Linked DNA regions of Cricetulus griseus. The protein of the gene in region 1 purifies or fractionates together with the protein of each later gene. This does not show direct contact. Links are inferred from orthologs where the notes say so. Each region holds a gene or a part of one and is shown in the gene's direction. Other genes may lie near its edges. The genes, in order: Sh3pxd2a and Fgd1.

What was found.
Region 2: the proteins of Sh3pxd2a (region 1) and Fgd1 purify together in Homo sapiens (affinity purification with mass spectrometry; 3 studies listed by BioGRID and IntAct, with this or other methods). This does not show direct contact. The link is inferred for Cricetulus griseus from reciprocal best matches to the Homo sapiens genes SH3PXD2A and FGD1.

The regions. Positions count from the first base shown.
Region 1 is NC_048596.1:14,278,773-14,282,576, forward strand, and holds part of Sh3pxd2a (SH3 and PX domain-containing protein 2A), read left to right. Parts: intron 1-507; coding exon 508-627; intron 628-1,457; coding exon 1,458-3,410; 3' UTR 3,411-3,804. UniProt on the Homo sapiens protein: Adapter protein involved in invadopodia and podosome formation, extracellular matrix degradation and invasiveness of some cancer cells. Binds matrix metalloproteinases (ADAMs), NADPH oxidases (NOXs) and phosphoinositides.
Region 2 is NC_048604.1:108,419,604-108,423,944, reverse strand, and holds the start of Fgd1 (FYVE, RhoGEF and PH domain-containing protein 1), read left to right. Parts: upstream 1-1,318; 5' UTR 1,319-2,103; coding exon 2,104-2,410; intron 2,411-4,341. UniProt on the Homo sapiens protein: Activates CDC42, a member of the Ras-like family of Rho- and Rac proteins, by exchanging bound GDP for free GTP. Plays a role in regulating the actin cytoskeleton and cell shape.

The DNA.
Region 1 (3,804 bases):
AATACCGCTATGAGAGAAGTTGTGTGCCAGCGCCTAGAAATCATATAGGCGTTCTGGAATATTCTGCCTGCCTACTGAAACAGGGCTACATTCTGTTCAGGGCACCAACAGGCTAACCTCCTCCCAAAGACCCCTCCCCAACCAGCTGCCCCCATGCTCCTACTTCACTGTCCTGAGGACGGCTGGCTCCCTCACCCTCTTCTCCAGAAGCTGCCCACTTGGCTTAGACCTTAGACTTATAAAATGGTGGTTTCCATGCTTTCCGTCTTGGGGTCCAACTCTTGTGACCTTTATAGGAAGCATCCCAAGAGCTCAAACTAGTGTTGTCTGGACCGTGAGTGCCATCTGGGGGGAGTCCTGATGTGTAAGTGACAGCTGCCTTCAAAGCCAGCTGCTATCCAGCTAGCAGGGATGGCCACAAGCACCTGAGGAGCCAATGGGCACCAGTCACTGGCCTTAGTACCGCTCTGATTAGCTCTATTTGCTCACTGATTGTTTCTGCTTTAGGGGTTCCAGCTGCCAAAGCCACCAGAGCCCCCTTCTGTTGAGGTAGAATACTACACCATTGCTGAATTCCAGTCTTGCATTTCTGACGGCATCAGCTTTCGGGGCGGACAGAAGGCTGAGGTGAGCCTCCTTTGGGCTAAGGATCTGCTTCATATTTTTTTGTATGTCTTCTTGGCAAGGTTTCTGAGGGTCAGGCAGGGCAGGTACCGAAGTGAGCCTGTGGCCATGAGTACTACTTGCCTAGTGGGGGAGCAACCAGGACTAGAGCCCGAGACTTGGGTTTCTGCCCTTCGCTTGCTTACAGTGCTTACCCCATAGTGGCATGTCCCTAAACATGCAGGGTTGAGCACGACAAGCCTGGAAATGAAGTGCTGCTGAAGGTGTGTGAACTTCCAGGGCAGAACAGTTTGACAGTTTGCTTCATCAGGAATGTTTTATTTGGGAGGACACACACACACACGCACACGCACACGCACGCACGCACGCATGCATGCAGATCAGAGGAAAATATTGTGTATTGACCCAAGAAATCCTAATGAGATTTTGTTGAGGTTTTTGTGGATACTAGGAGGACATTTTGCAGGGAGGATCTGATCTCAGGCCTGGTTTATGCCTCTTCCCGTTCTCACCTGAGAGACCCTTTCAAAGGGTACTGGACATGGGTGGAGATCGGGAACAATGGAACACTGGTTCTTTATCCATATTGATCCTTCGCAAGCTGGTTTTTGTAGGGTCTAGGAACAATGTGCTAGATTTGGGGGTGTTGTGGAGTTATTGGCACAGACTTAGGGAGCCTCACAACCAGGACCAGGGTTTGCATCTAGCCTGCCACTGACTGCCATAGGTCTCAGAGCCACTTATTCAAGATCTGTGTCTATAAAATAGGCCGAGTGGGACATTGTAGGGACCCCGAGACCCCTGGACTCACCGGCCTGTCCCTCTTCCCTCAGGTCATCGATAAGAACTCAGGCGGCTGGTGGTACGTGCAGATTGGGGAGAAGGAAGGCTGGGCCCCCGCGTCATACATTGATAAGCGCAAGAAGCCCAACCTGAGCCGCCGAACCAGCACCCTGACCCGGCCCAAGGTGCCCCCGCCTGCACCCCCCAGCAAGCCTAAGGAGACCGAGGAGAATCCTGGGGGTGCCTGTGAGAGCCAGGACTCCCCACTGAAGCTTAAGTATGAGGAACCTGAGTATGACATCCCCGCCTTCGGCTCTGACTCAGAGCCTGAGCTGAGTGAAGAGCCCACTGAGGACAGGGCCTCAGGTGACAGGCGACCTGCCCAGCCCCGAAGGCCCTCACCCGCCTCCTCCCTGCAGCGGGCACGCTTCAAGGTGGGCGAATCTTCTGAGGACGTGGCCCTGGAGGAGGAGACGATCTATGAGAACGAGGGCTTCAGGCCCTACACAGAAGATGCGCTGTCTGCCAGAGGCTCCTCTGGGGATAGTGACTCCCCTGGAAGCTCCTCGCTGTCCCTTGCCATGAAAAATTCCCCCAAATCAGGGTCTCCCAAATCATCATCACTGCTAAAGCTCAAGGCAGAGAAGAATGCCCAGGCAGAACTGGGGAAAAACCAGTCCAACGTCTCCTTCTCCTCTTCCATCACCATCAACGCCACCTGTTCCTCCTCCTCCTCCTCCTCTTCCTCCTTGTCCAAGAACAGTGGCGACACGAAGCCACGCTCTGCCTCAGATGCAGGCATCCGTGGCACCCCCAAGGTCGGGACCAAGAAAGACGCCGATGTGAAGGCCGGGCTGGCCTCCTGTGCCCGAGCCAAGCCATCGGTCCGACCAAAGCCAGTCCTGAACCGAGCCGAGTCTCAAAGCCAGGAAAAGATGGACATTCGCTCCTTACGGCGCCAGCTGAGGCCCACAGGTCAGCTGCGGGGGGGCCTCAAGGGTTCTAGGAGTGAGGACTCAGAGCTGCCCCCCCAGACAGCCTCTGAGGGGTCCAGGAGAGGCTCTGCTGACGTCACTCCCCTCGCGGCCACCGGCCCCCCGTGTGTTCCCAGGATGGAATGGGAAGGGCAAGGCACCGCCTATGTGACACGCAGTGCCTATCAGAAGGTCCAGGGCTCCGAGATCAGCTTCCCTGCGGGCGTTGAGGTGCACGTGCTGGAGAAGGCAGAAAGCGGATGGTGGTATGTGAGGTTTGGGGAGCTGGAGGGCTGGGCTCCTTCCCACTATTTGGTGCCGGAGGAGAACCAGCAATCTGACGCCGCTGGCAAAGAGCCAGACTCAGTGAAGAGCACTCAGAATGAGGGCAAGTCGGACAGTCTGGAAAAGATCGAGAAGCGGGTTCAAGCGCTGAACACCGTGAACCAGAGCAAGAGGGTCACCCCACCCATCCCCTCAAAGCCTCCTGGGGGTTTCGGCAAGACCTCGGGCACCGTAGCGGTGAAGATGAGGAACGGTGTGCGGCAGGTGGCAGTCAGGCCCCAGTCTGTGTTTGTGTCTCCACCACCCAAGGACAACAACCTGTCCTGTGCCCTGAGGAGGAACGAGTCACTAACGGCCACTGACAGCCTTAGAGGTGTGCGCAGGAACTCCTCCTTTAGTAGTGCACGGTCAGCAGCCGCCGAGGCCAAGGGCCGCTTGGCAGAACGGGCTGCCAGCCAGGGCTCAGAATCACCCCTGCTGCCTACCCAACGCAATGGCATCCCCATCTCCCCCGTGCGTCCGAAGCCCATTGAGAAGTCTCAGTTCATCCACAATAACCTGAAAGATGTGTATATCTCTATTGCAGACTATGAGGGGGATGAGGAGACAGCTGGCTTCCAAGAGGGGGTGTCCATGGAGGTGCTGGAGAGGAATCCCAATGGCTGGTGGTACTGCCAGATCCTGGATGAGGTGAAGCCCTTCAAGGGCTGGGTGCCCTCCAACTACCTTGAGAAGAAGAACTAACAGCACTGGGTCCTTCCAGACTCAGTGTGCTGCTCTGGCTGCCACTGAATGAATGGTGGCATGCAGACAAGGGGAAGGACAACGGGAGGGGGGAGGGGATGACAACATTGAACCCTGCAGAATATGTGACCCCCGAAGACACCCTCCAGCTGGAAGGGAGGGTGTGATGGGTGCACACACTTAGTAGGCGAAAGGGAATAGTGGGGTTCTCCTGGGCCTGGAACCCCTGCACACACACTGGTGACTTTGCTTGTGGGCCATATGCCATTGCATATAGGCCACATGGGAAAGCCCAGTTGTGCCTTTGCTGCAGGCCTGGAAAAGATGTCACCAGGTGTGTCCAGGGTCCTGTCCCTGCTCAGCCACTTCAGTGGCTGGGTTCTTGCCTCTGGAA
Region 2 (4,341 bases), on another chromosome or scaffold:
GATATTCAAGCAATGCTGTCTTATAATCAGCTCTATGTCTGGGCCAGGAGAAATGTCTGGATTTGAATTATTTTAGAATTATCAGCAAAGAACTGATAACCAAAGCCATGGAAGCAAATGAGACACTGAAGGACCAAAGAGCTCAAGAGAAGACAACAGAGCTCAGGCCAATGATACCAAGAGACAAGGAAGAACCTGAAAAGGAAAAAAGGACGAAAATAAACATTGTATTATGTCATAGGGAAGTAATTTCAGGAGGAAGGAGTGGTCACTAGCGCTACCCAAATGCTACCCAAAAGCCAAGAAGGATGACCTCTGAAAAGATTCTTTTGGATTTAGTGACATAAACTATGGTAGATCTTGATAAGAAAGCAGTTTGGGAGAAGTAGTGGAGGTGAGTTGGAACAGGGTTAAAGATAAGTAGGAGGTAGGAAATGAGGTAGTTGAGTGTGAGCAAGTCCTGAGTCATTTGTGAAAAAAAAGAATGTTTGGTGATTGTTTTTTAGATGAAAGATACCCGAGGTGTATTTAAAGTCGAGAAGGAACACGGGGACAAATTCAGAGATTTGGTGGCAAGAACTCAAGACAAGACCTCTTCTCTGGTGTCTTCTGTTCACTCCACGTAGTAAGAGGTAGGGTTTATTTGCTTAATACTAGGGGGCAAATTCAAGATGTTGGGGAGACTAGATTTGAAATGGCCACTGTGGGTGAGATTTAAATAGGGAATAGTGGGGAAATGCAAGAGAAAGTTGACTACTAGTAGAGCGATAGGTCAGTTCTGAGGAACTTGTAGAAGCTGGGAAATGAGGGTTCCTCATGATACAAATCTAGAAAATTGTAGTATTATCCAGTAGTGTTCAGCTGCCTGGGCACAAGTATTGGGGGGAAAGGCAAACAGTTGGACCGATTCAGGATTGGGTTGCTGCCAGTCGGATAACGGACAAAAGAAGGAACTAAGGCTGCAAGAGTGGGAAGTAAAGGACCATGAGATCTGGCCTGAGGAAATGAAGATTTGCAAAGGATCACTATGAGCCAAGCCTAGCTTAACTCCGAAATACGTGGAAAGGCTTCTTTGTAGGAGAGTGATGGGAGAGCGGAAGAAGACATGAAATACGACGGAAGGGTAGATTTTGGAAATCGAGCTGGGAGACTTGCCTATGTGGGACCAGGGAAGGATGGGAAGGAAAACTGAAGGGAAGTTCAGGGCCAGCAGAAAAGGAGGGCCTTAAGCTCCTGCGAGAGGTGAAACTGGCCCAAGCGAGGGGGCGTGGCCAAGCTCAAATCCCGACGAGGGGGCGGGACTCTAGTAACTGGGTCCCAGCGCCGCGGTGGCTGCGGCTGTCTCAGCAACGGCTCGCGCTTCCCCATCCCCCCCCCAGTTCCCAGGGCTCTTCCCGCCCGCCGCGGTGGAAACCCAGGCCCAAGGCGGAGAAGCCCGGTCTGGTCCGTTCCTCTGTTCGCGAGGCTGGAGCATCGTCCTGGAGGACTGCCCAAAGGCAAGCCTCGCAGCCAGCCGGAGAGCGCGGCGCACACGCGCGCCTCCCGGCCACGGCCGTCCTCTCTTCCCTCCTTCCTCTCCTCTCTCCCCTCCCCTCTCCTCCGCCCCCAGCCTCCGCTGCGGCGGGAGGAAGAACCCTTCCCGACCAGCCCAGAGAACCCAGGTCGATTCTCATTCCGGCAGAAAGGAGAGACCCCCCTCGCTGGGATCCGGCTGGCCGCTCGCCCCCGGCCACGGAAGTGACTGGCCGTCCATCAGGAGAGCCCGTGCCTAGCGCAGCCCCCGACCCTCGCCCAGCCGCAGCCGCATAGACAGCGCTCCCCAGCGGGCCCCCGGCCCCGCCGAGCCCACTCCCCGCTTGGGGCCAGGGCCGGCGATGCCTGGCGCGGCAACGGCGGTGGCCGCGGCTACTGCTGCTGCTGCCACGGCTGCTGGCCGGAGCCCGGGTCGGGGGCTCGAGTCTCCGCAGTGGGGCTGAGCCCGCAGCCCCGCCCCCCGAGCCTGAGGCCGCTGCTCCGCCGGGCGCCGGGCCTTCTCCGCCCGCGCCTCCGCCCCAGGAACTGGAGCCAAGCGGGGAGCCCGGGCCCCGCGCCCAGGCCCGGACCATGCATGGCCACCGAGTCCCGGGGGGCCCTGGGCCTTCGGATCCCGAACGCTTGGCGGCGAATACCCCTGGCGCCGCACCACTGGCCTGTGCCGACTCGGACCCTGGAGCCCTGGAACCCGGACTGCCGGTGCGCCGGGGCTCAGGCTCGGCTCTTGGAGGGCCTTTGGATCCTCAGTTTGTGGGACCCTCGGACGCCAGCCTGGGAGCTCTTCCAAGCTCCCGGGTCTTGCCCTGCGGCCCTAGTCCACAGCACCACCGGGCCCTGCGCTTCTCCTACCACCTGGAGGGTTCGCAGCCTCGGCCTGGTGAGTGATCCAGACGGCATGGGAACCTGGGCCACGGGCCTGGTACTGGGAACGGGTTCTTGTTCTAGGGCTTAGGGCCGATATGCTCACCCTAACCCCTTGAGTTCCCACAATACCTCTTCCTTTTCCCTCCTGCAGCATTCCGTCCAGTTCTTTCAGCCTTTGCTCTTCTCTGTCCCTTGCGCCCTCAATCCTTAAGAGTCCTTTCTCTTCTAACTGCTGAGGCTAACAGGAGAGGAAGCACTCCCAAGAAAAGGGGGCAGGATTTGAAGGCAGCAGTGGGGATGTGGTTAGGGGAATAGGAGAGAAGTCTCCCATTAGCTAAGTGCCTACATTTGTGCATGGCACTGAACTGGGTACTTTTACAAGGGTTCTAGTTTCAGCTTCAGGAGCCATCTGAAGTGAGTTTCATCAACCACATTTTTAGGGGTGCAGACTGAGGCTCTGAGAAGTAACTTGTCCAAGGTCATACTGTCATTATGGTGCCTGGATTCAAAACCAGAGCAGAGTCCAAAATCTGTGGTCTTTCTGTTTCCCCAAACTGAAGCTAGACATAAATGCTAAGCTTTCTACTTATGTGATTTCCCCTTGTACTATTCAGTAGCCCTGAAGTGTGAGAAAGAGAGAGAGGGAGATGGTGGACTGATCCTAGATTGTGCTTTTGCTAGGTGTTTGTGGCCAAAGTACAAGGGAAGGGCGGCACAGGAGGTACTGATGAGAGAGAAAGGTGGAGATGAGCCTGAAGGAAAGGGCTCAAGGGGCTGGTAGGTAGGAAGAGAGCAGAAAGGTCAGAAGGGAGAGCTTCAGGGCCAGCAGATTGTTTGAAAAGATAATCAGGATGGTTGTTGCTTGGGTTTGCAATGGTGGAACAACTCTAGGTCAGACGGGCCATAGACCTGGATGGGCCTTTTCATAGCCTGAGTATCTGAGCAGCCTAGCAGAGTCTCTAGGATAGTTTCACACGGGCCTTGAAGGGAAAGCAGTGAATATCTGCCCTGTCTTCATTGGGACTGAAGGAGGTGGTGAGCGTGCATCTAGCTGCTTCCAGGGCTCCTATCTCAGCTTCCACAGGTCACTAGTACTATGGCTCAGTACCAGGTAACAGTAACAGTGAATTGTAAAGCACAGGCAGTGGCTCTCACTGCTGTCTGTTCTTTGGATAGTTATGGAACCTCTGGGAGATTTTAGGCACCCCCTCCCCCTCGTGAACTGGAGATAGCCAGCTGACAACCCTTTAATGGCCTGCCCTGCTCGTTGCTTCTACTGCCTTTCCAAACTCCCCTGGACACATGCTGTGTAGAGGAGGCTAATCAGACATACTTATTTTATTTTAGTTCCTCCCTGCACATCCCCAGACACCCACAACTCTCCCACTGCAGAGCCTTTGCATTTGCTTTGCCTGCTGCCTGCTAGCCCTTCCCTCAGCCCTCCACCTGGCTTGCTCCTCATCTTTCTGTTCTCAGCTCAAATGTCCCCTCTGAGAGACCTTCCCTGACCACTTTTAAGTAGGGCCTCTTGTGAATCTCCATCACAGCTGCCAGTGTGTGTCTGTCCTTACATTTAATACAGTCTGAAACTACCCTCTTGTATGTGTCTGCTTGGTTTTGCTGCTCCTGTGACAGAATGTGCGCTCCTTGCGGGCAAGGGGCTTGTGCCTGGTTTGTTCATTATTGTATACCTAAGGAACTAGTGTAGTGCCTAGTACAAGGCAAATATGCAATAAATCCTTGTTCAACAAATGTCTGAATAGATGGTAAGGGAACACACAGTAGGCCCTCTGTAACTATTGCCTAAGAGGACACTGAGTTCCCACCCAGCAAATACTCTTTGTCTGGGATTCAGTAGCTAGGAAGGTCTTGACCCTTGGTCTCTGCCCTCTCTAGTCAACATGGGGTTGATACTGAGCTTGCTTTTCTACTCCACCAGTTCTT